Cricetulus griseus: one gene and its partner. The protein of the gene in region 1 binds, or shares a complex with, the protein of each later gene. Links are inferred from orthologs where the notes say so. Each region holds a gene or a part of one and is shown in the gene's direction. Other genes may lie near its edges.

Region 1 (8,572 bases):
TCTGTGATTACAGGTGTGTGCCCCCATTCCCAGGTATGGTAGACCTATACTATTGTAGTGCCTTCATCTTTCTTCTTTTAGCTCAAGATTGTTTGGATATTTGGGCCTTCTTTTGCTTTCCTATGAATTTTAGGATTTAAAAAATGTTTTTATTAAAACTGCTATTTTATTTCAATATAGACTAATTCTTCTAATTCATAAACATGGAATTTTTTTTCACTTTTATGTTCCTTTCATTCTCTTCTCAATATTTTACATTTTTCGTTCTAAAGAGCCTCCATTTTGTGGTTAAAATCATTCTTAGTTTTTTTTTTTTTAATTTTTTTCTTTTTGAGATAACGTCAAGAGTCCCAGGTTGGCTTTGTGCTTTCTATGTAGCTGAGAATGACCTGAAACTTCTCATCCTCTGTGTCTCTCAAGTGCTGAGATTATAGGCATGTACCAACACCCCACTTATGTCACACTGGGTTTTCTCCATGCTAAGCTAGTACTTTATCTTTTGAGTTGTATCTGCAGGTCTTTTGTTAATTTTTTATTAAATGTGTGTGTTTGTATAAATGTGTTCAGGTTGCCATTTGGAGACCATGGACTCTAGGAGAGACTCTGGAGCTAGCGTTACAGGTGGTTGTGAACTGTCCTGCAAGGGTGATGGGAACTGAACTCAGGTCCTCTAGAAGAGCAACAGACCTTTGTCACTTTTTGATAGCTGTTGTAAATGGTATTAATTTCTTCACAATCATTTTCAGATGGTTCGCTATTGGTACCTAGAATGCTACTGCTTTTGTATGTTGATTCTGTGTCCTTTAACTTTACAAATTATGTGCTCTGACAGTATTTATGGTAGAGTCTAGAATGATGTCTGTGAGTTTTGCTTCCTCCTGTCCTGTCTAGCTGCCCTCGTTTCTGTCTCTTGCTTAATTTCCTTGCCTAGGGCTTCTTCTTCTTTTCTTTCTTTCTTTTTTTTTTTTTTTTGGTTTTTTGAGACAGGATTTCTCTGTGGCTTTGGAGGCTGTCCTGGAACTAGCTCTTGTAGACTAGGCTGGTCTCAAACTCACAGATATCTGCCTGCCTCTACCTCCCGAGTGCTGGGATTAAAGGCATGCGCCACCAACACCCGGCTAGGGCTTTTTATACTGTGTTGAGCAACAGTGTTGTTCAGATCTTAACAGGAAATAGTTTCAATTTCTTATCATTTGGGATGGTGCTTGTTTTTGGTTTGTCATAGATTCTGGGGTGTGTGTGTGTGTGTGTGTGTGTGTGTGTGTGTGTGTGTGTGTGTGCTAGCTCTGTTGACCAGGCTGGCCTTGAACTCAAAGATCCACCTGCCTCTGTCTTCTAAGTGCTAGGATTAAAGGTGCCCGCCAACGTACATTCTTTTACTAATTTATTAGAATTTATTTAGGATTTTTATTATGAAGAAATGTTGAATCTTATAAGATGGTTTTCTTGCATGCCCTGAAATGATCACACAACTTTTCCTGTTTAGTTTATTGATGTGATATATCAGCTTTGTTGGTAATAGTTTCTCCCACCTCCTTGCCTTCTTCCTTCCCTCCTCTTCTCCTTATTCTTCATCCCCCCCCCCCTTTGCAGTATTGGGTAGCTTCATGAGTGCTAGGCAAATACACACTACCTCTCATCTATGCCACCAGACTAAGGGTATCATTTGAAAATGTGCTGTTGGGTTCATTCTGTTAACACTTTATTCAGAATTTTTTTTTTGTAGCTATATTCACAAGAGGTGTCTGTCTGTATTTTCTTTTTGTTGTGTGCTTGTCTGGCTTTAGTATTAGTGTAATTCTGACTTTATGAAATGACTTTGGAACTTTTCCCTCTCTTTCAAGCTTGAGACACTTGCAATCCCAGTCATTTAGAGGTAGAGGCTTAGGAGTTCAAGGCCAGCCTGGGCTTTAGGAGCCTGTTACCTTCATCTCCAACAACTGATGCTCTTTAGCTTTGTGGGGTGGAGCAATGAGCCACAGGTTTCTCTTTGTTGGAAGTCTTTTTCTTTTTCTTTCTTTCTTTCTTTCTTTTTTTTTTTTTAACTGATTCACTCTTATTCCGGAGTTTTAGACTGTTCCAGTTCTGCTGCACAGAAGTCTCTTGATGAACTGTCTTCTCTGTCACCATGCTTCTGTCCCAAGGCAGGCTGACATGAGTGAGGCCCATCTAGTCTGACAGGAGTCTTGGCATCCTTCTCTTTCGTGGTCATCATTTGCTTGGAGTAACTTTTCTTTTTCTTCTTCCTTTACTTTCAAGCTATGTCCATAAATCTGCACCTAAAGGTCTAATTTAGGTAGCCAGTAATTGGATTTTAAAAACCCATTCAATCAGTCTTGTTGAGTTGATTTATCAGTTGAGGATATTCATTGCTCTGGCAGAGGACCTAGGTTTGACTCCCATCATCCACACCGGGCTCATAACCATCTGTGACTCCAGTTCCTGGGGGGCCTAATGTTCTCTTCTGGCCTCCATAAGCACCAGACACACATATAGTACACAGACACATGAAGACAAAACACCCATATACATAAAATCAAATAATTGAAAAAGCAAAACAAAACGAAAAAACTCCAAGCCCATTGGGAATTCCATGTTTTGGTTGAAAAGGGTAATTTACTTGTATTTAGCACGATTGTTGGTGGACACTCCTGGGTTTGTTCAGTTTTCTGCTTTGTAGTTTCTTTGCTCCATTCTGTCTCTTATTGTCTTGTTTGGCCTTGATGAATTTTTTTATAGTTATATATTTTGATTTCTTTCTTCTTTGTGTTTCTGCTTCAGATTTTTCTCTGTGCATAGGAGGCTTACATAAAGCATCTGACAGTTATAATTGCCTATTTTTAACAAATAACAGTTTCATGCACATTAAAATAAACTGCTCATTAACAGCTTCTTCCGCCACTTTTTATGTTGTTATTGTCGTAATTGATGAAGTAATATTCAACAAAAGTGCAAAAGATGTAATGGAGAGGGTTTCCAACAGGGACAGTGGAGCTGACAATCTAAAACAAACCGTCTCATCTCATGTCATGTGAGCCAGATCCAAAGAAAAGGCAACTTCTTGTGAGATTTAACACCCACTCACCACACTAGCAGTGCAACTCAGCATCACTGAGGAGAAAAGGAGACAGATATTCACATAGAATTCTATGTGCAAATGCCTGCCATTGCTCTGTTACTAATAATGACAAATTGGAGGCAATCTGGACACCCTGAGCCGGAGGATGGAATAGCAAACTGTGGCACACCCATGCAGCGGAGTGCTCATCAGCAATAGAACGGTGTGTTACTAATGTATGCAAATGATATGGATAGATTTCAGGTGAATTATTCCAGGTGAAAGACAAAGTCTAAAAAAGTCTATACACCATGTAAGCCATTCTTAAGGCAATCTAGAAAAGAACAACTGTCATACAGGGACAGAAAACACCTCAGTGGTTTCTGGGGATTGCTAACAGGGAAGAAGCCAACTGTGAGTTCCATATCCTGATGGTGGCCATGATTATGTGACTGGATGTTTGTCAAAACTCTAAAGCTATATACTAAAACAGTTGAATTTTATTTTATACAAAATTTGCCTCAGTAAACCTGACCTAAAAAATGCCATTGACTTCAGGCCAAGCTCCAGTTACTTTATTTGGTGGTCGGTGAGTCTCCTGCAATGGTGTGTGTGTGTGTGTGTGGGGGGGGGCAGAAATCGTGTTGTCGAGAGTCCTCTGTGCTTTTCCTGCCTGGGACTTCTAGCTTGAAACCTGTAATATATCCCGTTTAACTGTTCCTTTGCTCTTCTTCTCTCCACACTGCTATGCTGAGAGTCCTTGAAGGCACTGTGTCTGCTACCCAGTCTAGTGCTCAGAGAACAAGTGTTTGTTGAATGAATAAGTGGATAATAAGTGGCTGAGTTCTACAGATAAATGGTGCATGTTTACCTTGAGCATATTAAAAAGACATTTTACTTAACACAAAACCTTCTGGGTAGCAAGTTTTTCAGTTCTAGGGACTGAACTACTCAGTGCTTTAAGAATACAGGCCACGTAGTTTACCACTGGGCTATACCTCCAGCCTAATAATCGCGATTTTAGTACAGTCAGATCGATTACGGCCAAATCAGACTTTATCCTTTGCCCTTACAAAGAATTCTAATCTAAAAGGTGTGGTGTCTGCTCTTCTAGATACTATAATTGTGTTCTCCTATGTAACATCTCCTTTGCTGCCTTAGTAATTTACCTGAAATGCCATTTGGGATAAATCTGAATCTACTGTCCACCGACTTTATGATAAATTCCTCTAGCTAGCAGCATATTCAATTGACCGGGCTGGGGGTATAGTTCAATGGTAGACCAGTTGCATAGCTTGTCTGAATTCCTGGATTTCATCCTTACTATCCCCCCCTCATCTCTCTCGCATGCTCTTGCACGCACCTGCATTTTCTTAAAATGTATCATGAATCATGTTTTAGTCACTGTTCTGTTGCTGTGAAGAGACACCACGACCAAGGCAAGCTCTTTAGTTGGGAGCTTGCTTACAATTTTAGAGGTTTAGTTCATATCATCATGGTGGGCATGGTGGCACTCACATCTCTGGAGCAGTAGCTGAAAGCCTCATCCTGATCTATTGACTGAGAGAAAGGGGGAAAGAAAGAAACACTGGGCTTTTGAAAACCTCAGGACTGGAGAGATGATCCAGAGTTTCAGAGCACTGGCTATTCTTCCAGAGGTCCTGAGTTCAATTCTCAGCAATAACATGGTGACTCACAACCATCTATAATGAGACTGGTGCCCTCTTCTGGTGTTTAGGCATACTTGCAGGCAGAACACTGCATTCATAATAAATAAATCTAAAAAGAAAAGGAAAAAAAAAAAAAGAAAAAAAAGAAGCCGGGAGTTGGTGGCGCACGCCTTTAATCCCAGCACTGGGGGGGGGGGGCAGAGGCAGGCAGATCTCTGTAGGTTGGAGGCCAGCCTGGTCTTTAGAGCGAGTGCCAGGATAAGCTCCAAAGCTACCCAGAGAAACCCTGTCTCGAAAAACCAAAAGAAAAAAAAAAGAAAAGAAAAAAAAAAAGAAAAAAAGAAAACCTCAAAACCCTCCAGGTGGTGGTGCACACCTTTAATCCCAGCACTGGGGAGGCGGAGGTAGGCGAATCCCTGTAAGTTTAAGACCAACCTGGTCTACAAAGCAAGTTCCAGGACAGCCAGGGCTATTAACATAGAGAAACCCTTCCTTGAAAATAATAACAACACAGAAAACCAAAAAGAAAATAAGAAAAGAAAACCGGAAAATCCACCCCCAGTGGCACACTTCCTCTAAACAAGGCCATTTCTCCTAATCCTTCTAATCCTATCAGAGAGTTCCATTCCCTGGTGACTATGTATTCAAATATTCTAGCCTATGGGGATCATTCTTATTCAAATCACCACAAACATATAGGAAATTGTATGTTCTACAAACAATTTTCCCCAGTAATCGTGGTCTCATTTTCTTCTCTCTTCTTTCAGACAAATTTTATGCCCTCTCCCTATGCAGCCTTGAACTCCTGATCCTCCTGCTTCTGCCTTCTAGGTTCTGGTATGCACCACTATGTCTGGCTTCTTCACAGACAGGAAACTCCTGGATTCTTCTTAGGTGGGAAGAGGTAAGTTATCTTTACCCAATCTCTTTCAGATTGGCTCCTACTTTGGGGCCTCCCTCTGTTCCGTGGACATGAATGGTGATGGCAACACCAACTTGATCCTCATTGGAGCCCCTCATTACTATGCCCAGACTCGAGGAGGCCAGGTGTCAGTGTGTCCCTTGCCTAGGGGGGTGAGTGTTGGGCCGGGTGGGTCTGGGTGTGAGGTGGAGGGTTGCCAGGGTTTTGGGTCTGTCACTGTTTCTGTTTAGCAGAGGGCACAGTGGCGGTGTGAGGCCATTCTCCACGGTGAGCAGGGCCATCCCTGGGGTCGCTTTGGGGCAGCTCTGACAGTGCTGGGAGATGTGAATGGGGACAAGCTGACAGATGTGGCCATCGGGGCCCCAGGCGAGCAGGAGAATCAGGGTGCTGTCTACATTTTTCATGGGGCATCGGCAGTCAGCATCAGCGCCCTTCACAGCCAGGTAAGTCCCTACCACTGACTGTGTACAGCACCGACTTGTGTGATGTGGACCCTCCGATTTAACTGATGGATCAGTTTTCCTGCACTCCTTCCAGTACCTTTAAGACAATAACACTCTTCATAGCTGCCTCAGGGAATCTCCAGTGTAGACGAACTCTCTGTAATGGTAGGTGGTGCTTTGGGTATCCACACTGGACTTTATGGCTGAGGCCTGGGACTGTAGATGGCAAGCTACATGCGTGAGGATGTCAAGTGTTTGGCACTGGCTGTGGACCTGCAGTTAGGCCAGATGGAGAGATGTATGACAATGCTGTACCTTGTTTAGTCCCTTCCTCTGGGATCCCCATTCTGGCTGAGGGAACAAGAGTTCTGTTCTTTCCCATTCTGTCCCAGTTTTATGTTATCTTTACCCCATATGTTCCTATGTCATAGGAAACCCATACAGTTGGACACTTTAATCCCAGCACTCGGGAGGCAGAGGCAGATGGATCTCTGTGAGTTCAAGGCCAGCCTGGTCTCTAGAGCGAGTGCCAGGAAAGGCTCCAAAGCTACACAAAAAAAACCTTTTTCAAAAAACCAAAAAAAAAAAAAAAAAAAAAAAAAAGACTCCCGAGTTTGGCTTAAAATTCTGCTGTTGCTATAGTAAGTTTGTGTGTGTTGCAAGCATGTGTGTCTCCTCCTGACTCTGCCCTTCTTCCCAGTGTTCCTCTGCCCCCCAAACCCTGCCTAGCAGTGTAAAGGAAAATTCCACAACACTTTTCAACCACTTCTCCACCTTATTCACGCCCCTCCTCCCCCTTTTTTTTTTGAGACAGGGTCTCGCTTGACTGGTCTGAACGCATTATGCAAAGCAAGCTAGCCTTGAACTCATAGAGGTGCACCTGCTTCTGCCTCCAAAGTTCTGAGATTGAAAGCATGCACTACCATCCATGCCCAGCCCCTTTCTTTATATTTTTGATGTTTTTAAAATTAAATTTTGTTTTCAAGATTTATTATTTTTACTTATGTGTGTGTATGGCTGCCTGAGTTTATGGGCACCACATGCCTGCAGGTGCCTCTAGGGGTCAGAGGGCAGTGGATCCCTGGAGCTGGAGTCACAAGCAGCTGTGAGCTGCCTGATGTGGGTGCCAGGAATCAACCCCAGGTCCTCTGCAAGAGCAGTAAGTGCAATTAAGTACTGAGCCTCCAAATTAAATTCTTTGACCTTTTCATGCACACATACATCTGAACTCCCACCTCCATCTTTCCTTGTCTCCCCCTAGCTCTCTTTCCTCCCTACATAGTCATACTGACTTTTTTTTTTTATTTGAGACTCACTAAGGTTAACCAGTTTGGAGCCCTCCAATGGAGCCTGGTTGGGCTCACCAGGCTCAACTGATGGTTGTAACTCCTTATTTCCCAGACTCCATCAGTGCCTACTTGTTCAGTAGGGGGCATGGCAGGCCCTCTCAAGCCCCTTCTCCATTGGTGATTGGCTGTTGACAGGCCCATTTGTGTTTGGGCTCAGTGTGGGCCAGTGCGTTTGCATTGAGTTCATTATTGGAATGGCTGAATTGTACCCAGAGATGGCATTTCATAGTTTTTCTTTTTATTATCTTGTGCTTATATTCTTTCCAACCCCTATTCCCTAATATTTCTGGAGCCTTAGTGTGTGTGTGTGTGTGTGGGTTGTGGTGGTATAAATTACGTTTTTAAATTGCATGTGGAAGCTGAGGAACAGTGAGTGGATCCTGGAGATTGAACTCAGGTCATCAGCTTGTCAGCAAGGACCTCTGTCTTTCTCACTGGTCCCCCATCTCATCTTCAGGGACTCTCACTGAACCTGGAGATGCTGGTCCAGTCCCAGAATCCATCTGTCTCCATCCCCAGCACTGTCTTTACAGATGTGTAGCACCATGTTGAGCCTTGGTGTGAGTGCTTGGATCTGAAATCAGGTCCTCACACTTGTGCAGCAAGCACTTTAGCCCCTGGGCTGTCTGTCTCCCAAGTCCTGTACTGCAATTCTTAGTAGAAATTAAGTGTCTCACTATGTAGCCTGGGCTGGGGACTCTCCTGCCTCAAAGCCTGTGGGTGTGGGGATGACAGTTGAGAGCCACCAGGCTTGACCAATGATAGTCTTTGAATAACTGAATCCAGCATCTTTCTCTTGTTCTGTGTCTTAAAGTTAAGTATCTCACATTGGTGATGGGTCACCCTGAATCCTGGATGAAGAGCTGGTTCCCTCCTCAGTGACTGTCACTGCTGCATGAATTCCCTGCTTGTGGGGAACTCCCTTGCAGTTTGGCCTGCCTCACCCATGCTGTGTTCTCTCCCAGTGAGCTCAGGCAGTGTGGTCTCTTGGTCTCTGGTCTCTAGTCTTTTCCAGTCTTACATTTTCCTTTATTTCTTTAAAAAAGTGTATTGTGGTAAAAATGCTCAAATACTTGGCCTTGCCTCTTAACAGACTTGAAATGTACCCTCCTGCACTTGTCTGGCTCCCA
Region 2 (9,066 bases), on another chromosome or scaffold:
CTGGACAGAGGAATATTGAATTGAACCTAAATGAGTGATTACCAATATCCAGAACGTGGGATATTTTGACTACATGGTTTATAGTTTGTAAGAATGTAAAATGCAAGTGAATGGCTATCACACATGTTAGAAGCAAGTTACATTTTTTTTGAATCATGAAAGTCTAAAACATATTTAAATAAAACCCTCAAACACTACAAGGAAAGAATTGCTCTGTGAGTTACTTGTTGAGGAATGAGCTGTAGTTGGGATAAGGATTGTGCAAAGTCCCTTGGTGTGCCTGAAACAGTGCTCTATTTTGATAAAGATTCACTAAGGTATTCTGTGTCTTTGCATGACTTTCAGTGTCTCATGTTTCATTTTACAATTTACAAGGATAAAAAAAAACTGTTTCATAAGAGATAAGAAATGCAGAGCACAAAATGTCTAGTATATTCTAGTGGTGTGAATGCATACAGATGCATGCCAGTCACTTACTAATCATTTTTACATACTGGAGAGACTAATGGCTATTTCCACCCCAGTGTCAACATACTATATATCCTGTGGCCCAAAGAGCTAAGATATTATTTTAGTTTAAAAATTCATCCTTTGGTTTTGTTGTATTTCTGTGACCTTTTTCAAGACCGAAGTTTTAGAAGCTACTTCTAAGCACTGGGGCTCTCTTTGTCTTATCTACTTCAAATAAACGTGGAAGGATGTAGAATGTAATTGTAAACTGAGGTGATTTTCCTGACTTCATAAAAGTTGAATTGCATTGACATAGTCACTAATTTTCAACAATGGGCTCTGAACTCAAAGGATATACTTCAAATTGTTTCTTGAATTTGTTTTATGCTTCCAAAAAGCAAAGGCAGAATGAGTTTGTGTCCTGTGAAACCTGAAGGAACCTTTAGCAGATTTTAATTAAATCATTTTTCTGTCTGGTGACATTTTGTTTGGTTTTGCTTTGATATAATACAAAATGCCAAATTTGATATTTATTATTTTTTGATAAAAAAGAACATTTTGTATTAGTCAGACTTTTCAACACAGTGGAAAACAGTCAAAATAGTTTAAAGAAGGAAGTATTTCTATTGGCTCACAGTGTCAAATATTTTAGTCTATGTTGGCTGATTCCATTGTTTTAGGGCCAAGGTGACACAGGATCTTGTAGGTGCATGTCTGTTCATCTCATAGAGGTGGGGAGGCAGAGAGAAGTAAAAAAAAAGGGGGGGTGGGGTAAGATATGGCCTTCAAAGACATGCTCCCAGTGACCTAATGCCTCAAAAAGGCTCCACCTTGTACAGTTCTACTGTATTTTAATACTCTATTCAAAATTTTAATTTATCTATGGATTAAATCACTGATAAAGTCAGAGTCCTTCTAACAGTCCACTCACTTCCACAAAGCCCTACTTGCTAGATTTGGAGACCAAGCTTCTAATTCACTAAGGACACTTTATATGCAAACCACATAGCTATATAGGTAGGTCAAGCTGAAAATGTAATTTCTAATATTCCATATTATCTCTGTGCCTGTATCCTGTAGCTTTTATGAGAAGCATTTCCAGCAGTTGTTTCATCACCAGTCCTATAACTTACTCCCACTTTTTTGATATCAAAACCAGTTCAATTAGTTGTGATGTTCTGATTTTGTTCAAAGACAGAAAAAAATGAGTGGTAGAATTAACATTTGAATAAAAATTTCTGCCTCCAAACACTACATTAGTCTTTCCAAACAGGGCACACAGGGACCTGTATCCTTGTCCACATTTACTGCTGATGTTGCCCTTTTTAAACTCTTAGACCCCACTATAATGCTGTAGGAAGGAGAAGTTCCCTGCACATCCTAATCAGCCCTGTCTCAGAGGAGGAAATACAACATGTGAATGCTATCCTCCAGTTAATTCCTTCATTTGTTGAGTTTCAGGCTTCACTGGGATAACACAACAGTAATACTACATCCCAGCATCCATTTATGGTAGCCTCCAGCTTGTCAAACCCAGTGAATTATGTCTGGCAGGTCAAATATAGCAAAGATGGCAGAAGGTGGTAAGAAATAAAGAGGCTTCTCAAAAGGACTCAGCCAATTTAGTAAGTTTTATTCTGCCATTGTTTCTTGTTCTTGGTGTGAAAAATAATTAGCCACTTCCCTAATTGCTATGTGTGTCTGAGGGGGCCTTGTTCTTACTTCTATGTTCATCTGGTACCCAGCATGTTGGAGAACAAGTGAAGTTAAAGTATATGCAGGGAAAGCTTTTGCTCTTATTTGATGCTGAGGATGAATAAGTCAGCTATGCAGATGCCACATGCTCCTGCTATCTGCTCATACACTAATTACTCACAGATTTATTGGATCAGGGAGGTACCGTGCCAGAAGGCTAACTGAGTGTTGTTTGGAGCTCTCAAATGTTATTAAATACTGTTTGGTGTACTTGGATAATTTTAATCATTCCAGTTATCTTTTTCCTTTTTTTAAAAGCCTTTACCCTTTTTATACACCCATAAAAACCCGAGATATTAAGAAACTGGCTTACCGAGAATGAGAATGACTTCTGACCTCTTCGTGGGCTGCATTTATTAAGACCAGGGAGGTCATCACCCCATTGCTAGGTCAGAAAATTTTCTTTAGAGTTGTGCTTTCTCATCTGGAATGTTTAGATTCTCACAATAATATATGTCATAACAGTATAGGTAAGGCAATTTACAGGTAATTTTTACACATGAAAATGAAATCTAAGTTGAAATCAAAACTGAAAAGTCCCGAGTAAAGGAGATAATTTGCCTTTTATGAATTTTCAGAAGTGTCACCACAATTCGTAGGTACTGAAAGAAGGTGCTTAGGCAGCCATTGGGGGAAGCAAGGGCTCTGGTTCACTTTGTGCCCAATCGTTTAAAATGGTGTTTGAATGTCCCCGGAAAAAGTATATCCCAGAGGTGCACAGGGGGCTCATCTCTGGGAACTCTGACAAGCTTGCAAGTCATCGAGTCCAGGCTGGCTTCCTACCTCTAATCACAAGATGAGGAGGAGTCACCTACCTGATTTGCATGGAGCAATTCAGTGAGACTGTCCTAAGAATGCAGCTTTAGGGAGAGCAAAGCTTCTAATACTGGACTGTTGCCGGGGATGGAACTGGTGTTGATTAAGCAGGGTTCATGTTTTAAAGGGCAAAGTGGTAAAAATGTTAATTTTAGTTTGTTGGTAAAATATGTTTAATCATACTATAGAATCCAGTCATTGATAGAAAAACAAAACACAACTCCAATAAGTGACAATTCTAACATTGTGGAAGTTGATACAAGATTAGTTAGTAACCATGGTATCATATTTTAGATACTTATGAATTAGGAAAACAAGATGCATAATAGAGGGAGCACAGCACACACATGTGCATACCCATGCACATACATGTGCATACTCACACACACATATTATACCCCCAGGCACACATGAGTACACACACAGGAGTAGTCTCATTATTTACTAAAGAAATTGTAAAATCATTAAAAGCTAATCTATTGCAAGTTTTGGAAAAAAGGAATACAGCTCACACTAATAATAACCAAAGATTATTTGCACACTTTTGTGTGATCTATACAACACCATTAACACAGCAGATGGAGGTAAATGACCATCAACCACGTTTCTGCAATCAGTGGCTTTTTCAGAGCAGCTTAGGCAAGGTGAATATCTTGATGGAGGGTTATCACAGCATCTTTGAGTATAACAGGGATCTTCCTAGGGTTTTCTAGGGATTTTGACTTATGTGAGATGAGCAGTATTTCAATTTCTGAGCATGTATAGTCACTGCTCTCCAGATCTGAGGATTTAGTGGTTCTTGAGTAAAATCCATTTATGAATTCTTAGTGTTATAGCATGCCAGCTCTATATTTCTGTGTTTCACTCTAATGAGCAATGGGATGATACTATGTTTAAAATGAACATGGGTAAATAAGAATCAGAAATGCTGCTCATTGGTAGATATGCCTAAATATAAAAAACACAGTCAGTACACACAAGCTACTGTACACTATCATTTGTCACGGCTGTACCGAAGATTACTGTGACTGCAACACCATGAATGTTTCTAGGAACTTCCAGGCATCCTGAAGATGACTGTAGTTGTTATTAGCAAGTGATGCAAGCAACAGGATTGATTGTAGGAATCTGCTCAAAATCATGCCACGTGGTTCTCTTGCTTTCACAACCCCAGAGTCACACATAACAAATGGCTGTGAAATCTGATACGAAGAATGATTAAATTCTGCCCATGACCACGTGATTTACTGCTTTTGCAGCTGTTGGTGAGAAAGGATAAAATTACACTTTGTAATAATCAATACAGTTTTCCTAAAACCCAGTGTTCCAGAAGCTTCACATAGCATGCTTCATCAGAGAGTTGAATCTTCATCCTGACTTAGGTTGAAATCACCTTCTTCTTGTTCTCTTCATTTCCAGAAATGTCATCCCAACAGTACCAGCAGCAACGTCGAAAATTTGCAGCTGCTTTCTTGGCATTCATTTTCATCTTGGCAGCTGTGGACACTGCTGAGGCTGGGAAGAAAGAGAAACCCGGTAAGCAGTGGAGTCACAGAGAGATGTTTCCTTGGATGGTACCCAGGCAGCCCAGCTACCTGCTTATAGTTCTCCCACAGTTTCTAACATCCTTTCAATTATTTAGGGAAACCCTAAATTGCCCCATTTTGCTCCCGAATGAACATGCCCTTGGATAGTCATGAGTGGGCTGTGGTGTTGGGGGTCTCTTTTAGTCTGTGTCCTATACACATTTCTATTATGCCTTTTTACCCACAGAACAGAACCACACCATCAATTTTCAATGAAATTTTTAGTCTGACCACTACTACTTCTAATAGACATTCCCTCCTCATTTTTCAAGCTTTTTATAAACTACTTAGAATTTTTTATTTTGACAGAAATATTTCCTTCTTAGCCAGGCATTGGTGGCACACGCCTTTAATCCCAGCACTCAGGAGGCAGAGGCGGGTGAATCTCTGTGAGTCCAGCTTGATTTACAGAGTGAGTTCCAGAAGAGTCTCCAAAGCAATACAGAGAAACCCCATCTCAAACAACAACAACAAAACAAAACAAAATAAAAATGAAAAATATTTCCTTCTTTTTGTAAAATTTTACACTCTCAAATGTTTCATCAAAGATACACAAATCTTCAAATTTCATCTGGCACAAGTGTGTTAGCTGTTTGTTGCTGCATTCAGACACTTGAGGAGTGAATTTAAGAGGAAGATGGCTTTATTTCACTTAGGGTTTCAGAGGTGTGGGCCCGTCACTGCAGGCACGCGTGGCAGAATAGCTCATATTGTGGTGGTCAGGGAGCAGGCAGAGGGACAACGCCTTCATTCAGAAACATCTTTCTAAAAGGAAATATTAGTGATTCACGTAGAACAGTCTCTATCACACACATGACTTAGTAGTATTAGTTCCGTCTCTGCCCCCATGTTTTCTTTCTTTCTCCTCTTAACCATGCATTGACTGGATCATTGAGAAGACATCCCACTGTCTTCCTGGACAATACAGATAGAGATAAAAGTCATAGACTCCACAATCGAGGTTCTGAGGTGTGAACTTAGCCATATTCAAGAGTTCAGTACATTTCTGGACGGTGGTTGCTTTTTGTTTCCTCCCTTGCAGAAAAAAAGGTGAAAAAATCTGACTGTGGAGAATGGCAGTGGAGTGTGTGTGTGCCCACCAGCGGGGACTGTGGACTGGGCACCCGGGAGGGCACTCGCACTGGTGCTGAGTGCAAGCAAACCATGAAGACCCAGAGATGTAAGATCCCTTGCAACTGGAAGAAGCAGTTTGGAGGTCAGTCTCACCCTGTGTTCTTATTGCTTTAATCTACTATTCTGAAATACTTTTGGAACAATTCTATCAAATTCATTTTCAAAGCCAACTCATGTTTATATTAAATTAAATAAATATATTTTCTTAGACACACGGTGACCAGCCAGCTTTCCTCTTAGATTCAGCACTAGTGATATCAGGGGCTGGATTTTTGTTGTTTTTGTCTTGTACATTTTAGGGTAATTAGTAACATCCTTGTCATCTACCATTATATTTTCAACCATATTTTAATACAACCTACTCTACCAGCCAGGAAAACTGAGAAAATGTCATTTGATAGCCAAAATGACAACAGAGTCATATAAATTAGACTTTAAATAGTATGGGGTATGGTTAAGACTCACTTAAAAAAAGTTTGTGAGGCAGGGCATTGGTGGCACAAGCCTTTGATCCCAGCACATGGGAGGTAGAGGCAGACTGATCGCTGTGAGTTTGAGGCCAGCCTGGTCTCCAGAGTGAGTGCCAGGATAGGCTCCAAAGCTACACAGAGAAACCTTGTCTCGAAAAACCAAAAAAACAAAAGTTTCTTAAAGGACTCCTGTCATGAACATGTATAAAAATCTCAAGAATCAATATAGAATCAAAACAAACAAGCAAACATACAACCCTAACAATCCAGGAAGATAGTGAATAAATACCAACAGACATAATTTATGAGGAGAATAGATAATAATAAATAGACACCTGGAAAGATACTCAATTTCTCTGTCCCATTAAGGGAAGAGAGATTGAAACCCTGGTGACATGTTGCTATGTACCCATCAGAATGCCTGGAATAAAAACATTATGATACCCCTGGCAGTGAAGATGCAGAGACACTAGGTTATGTAGTTACTGTCAGTAGAAATAGAAAATGGCACAGCAATACTAAAAAAGATACTACTTTTTGGAGAGGTTGCTTGTTTTATGTTTGTATGAAATTAAACATGAGTTGACCTTACCATGTAACTCAGCAGTTTCTTGGGCGTTTTTCTTCCAGAGAAAATAAAATGTTTTCACAGAACACCTTATATGAATAAATAGAATTTGCATTTGTATGTATATAAATTAGCCAAAATAAAGCAATACAGGCATCTTTTAGTTGGCGATGGATAAATAAAGTTTGGGATATCTATATCGTGGATGGTTACTCAGTTGTACAAAAACATACAATATTGATTTACACAACGTGAGTTGATAGTCACAAATTTATGGTAAGTAAGGAAGTAGCCAGTCTCAGAGCCATAGAGATGGCTCAGTTGTTAGGAACACCTGCTTTTCGTGCAGTGGACCTGGGTTAGGTTCCTCACACCCATCATTCCAGTTCAAGAGGATCATACACCATCTCCTAATTTCTGTGGGCACGAGAGTAGCCAATCACAAAAGTTTACATAGTTTAAAATCTCATTTATAGAATGAATTGAGCTGAAGAAGATTTGTGGTTGTAGGTAACTTAAGAGGTAGGAAGGCTGTGACTGTATGTAAGGTGACAATGGGACCCTGGCATTGGGATGATATGTACATTAATGGTGCTGATTACATGCATTCACATGGCTAGAACTATACATGTCCATGCATATACACAGAACTATATGCGTTCATGCATATAAAACTGAAATCTGACTCCACTCTTGGAATTCATAATTTCCATTTTATAAGATAGGCCCACAGTTGTTCAAGATGCCAAAATTGGGGAAATTGGGGGAAGCATGTATGGAATGCCCCCGTGTTATTCTTATAACTGCATAGGAATATGTGATGGCTTAAATACAAAAATGTAACATCAAAATTGTGCCCTTATTATCACTACAATAAGCTCTCATAAGCATTGTTCTTCCAATTTGTTATGCTTTTTAGCTGAGTGCAAATACCAGTTCCAGGCTTGGGGAGAATGTGACCTGAATACTGCCTTGAAGACCAGGACTGGAAGTCTGAAACGAGCTCTTCACAATGCTGACTGCCAGAAGACAGTCACCATCTCCAAGCCCTGTGGCAAACTCACCAAGCCCAAGCCTCAAGGTAAGAAACTGTCACTCTGTCAGCTTTAATAGACTAGGAGACTCAGGCGAAACCCAAAAATTCTAGGAGAGAAGCGATTGAAAACTGCCCATTTGTGAACACAATAACATACTTTCCGTAGGCAGTCTCAGAGTTCAAGTTGAAGTTCTCTGCATACACAAACACCTTGGGAGTTAGGAACTAAACAGGAATACAACTAAATGCCTCAGCAAAACATGCCAGTTAAGACGGCTGATACAAGGATAACATCTATTTCAAATTTCAAAATTGGGACAAGATAAATAAACTAACAGAACTCATAATGCATAAAACTTTAAATCAAACCTCTCTTAGATTATCTACAGTATGATTTTCACAGAATCAGGAAAGATATGGTATCTATTCCTTTCCTCTTCTACGAGAGGTGATAAGCTTTATATATATCTTTTAATAACTGTGTAGCTTTATCACCTTGAAGTATTTCAACTTTCTGTACCCATTCATCACAGAATTTTAAAACTATGCAGAGTACTTGTTCCCAGAATGCCAGGCTCCACATTCATGCTGGTAAATCAGGACCGTATAGCCTCAGTTTGATGCAGGTGGGATGCCAGCTGGAGGAAGCCAAGGAGGTGGTAAATCGTTTCATTTCATAAGTAGATAAATTGAATTCTGTCTACTCCAAATCTGTATTTTTCAAGTCATAATCCCCCACCCTGTATCTCAGAATGTGACTGTACTTAGAAGTATGGACTTTCAAGAGATAACTGAGTTCAAATGAGGTCATAGGAATGGGACCAAATTTGATATGGTCGATGTTCTTCTAAGAGGAGATTAGCAAAGAGACACACACAGAGGGAGGGCCGTGTGAGGACACAGGGGGTGGAGGAGAGGTGCCAGCCACAGAGAGAAGTCCCACAGGAAATCAGGTCAGTCCAACACTTTGATCTCAGACTTGCCATCCCCAGAATGGTGAGAGAATGCATGCCTATTATCCAAGCTGCCTGTGCTATGGTACTTCATGTGGCTCCCACAGACAATTCATGCTGTAAGCTTCAATGAAATCCAAATTAAAATACCCCCTTGACCTCTCCTTGTACTTGACTCTCAAAATACACTTGAAAATTTATCCTGCCGGATTCATTGTAAAGAGAAATTCAGATAAATGCTGGTGATTAGCCAAAATAAGAAAAAAGAAATCCCCCAGAAACTGAGGACAGCTGGTGC

Evidence for each region.
Region 2: the proteins of Itgam (region 1) and Ptn are in contact, whole or in part, in an NMR structure (PDB 8VOH), measured with the Homo sapiens proteins. The link is inferred for Cricetulus griseus from reciprocal best matches to the Homo sapiens genes ITGAM and PTN. Residues at the interface, in NP_000623.2 of Homo sapiens: Pro273, Asp276, Arg277, Gly279, Val280, Ile281, Arg282, Tyr283, Lys306, Pro307, Arg309, Asp310, His311, Ala334, Ile335, Glu336, Gly337, Thr338, Gln339; in NP_001308315.1 of Homo sapiens: Val56, Pro57, Thr58, Ser59, Asp61, Cys62, Gly63, Leu64, Thr66, Glu68, Thr79, Lys81, Thr82, Gln83, Arg84.

Annotation. Positions count from the first base shown.
Region 1 is NC_048596.1:72,699,688-72,708,259, reverse strand, and holds part of Itgam (integrin alpha-M), read left to right. Parts: intron 1-5,661; coding exon 5,662-5,802; intron 5,803-5,880; coding exon 5,881-6,093; intron 6,094-8,572.
Region 2 is NW_023276806.1:191,417,678-191,426,743, forward strand, and holds the start of Ptn (pleiotrophin), read left to right. Parts: upstream 1-4,442; coding exon 4,443-4,557; intron 4,558-5,649; coding exon 5,650-5,823; intron 5,824-7,698; coding exon 7,699-7,860; intron 7,861-9,066.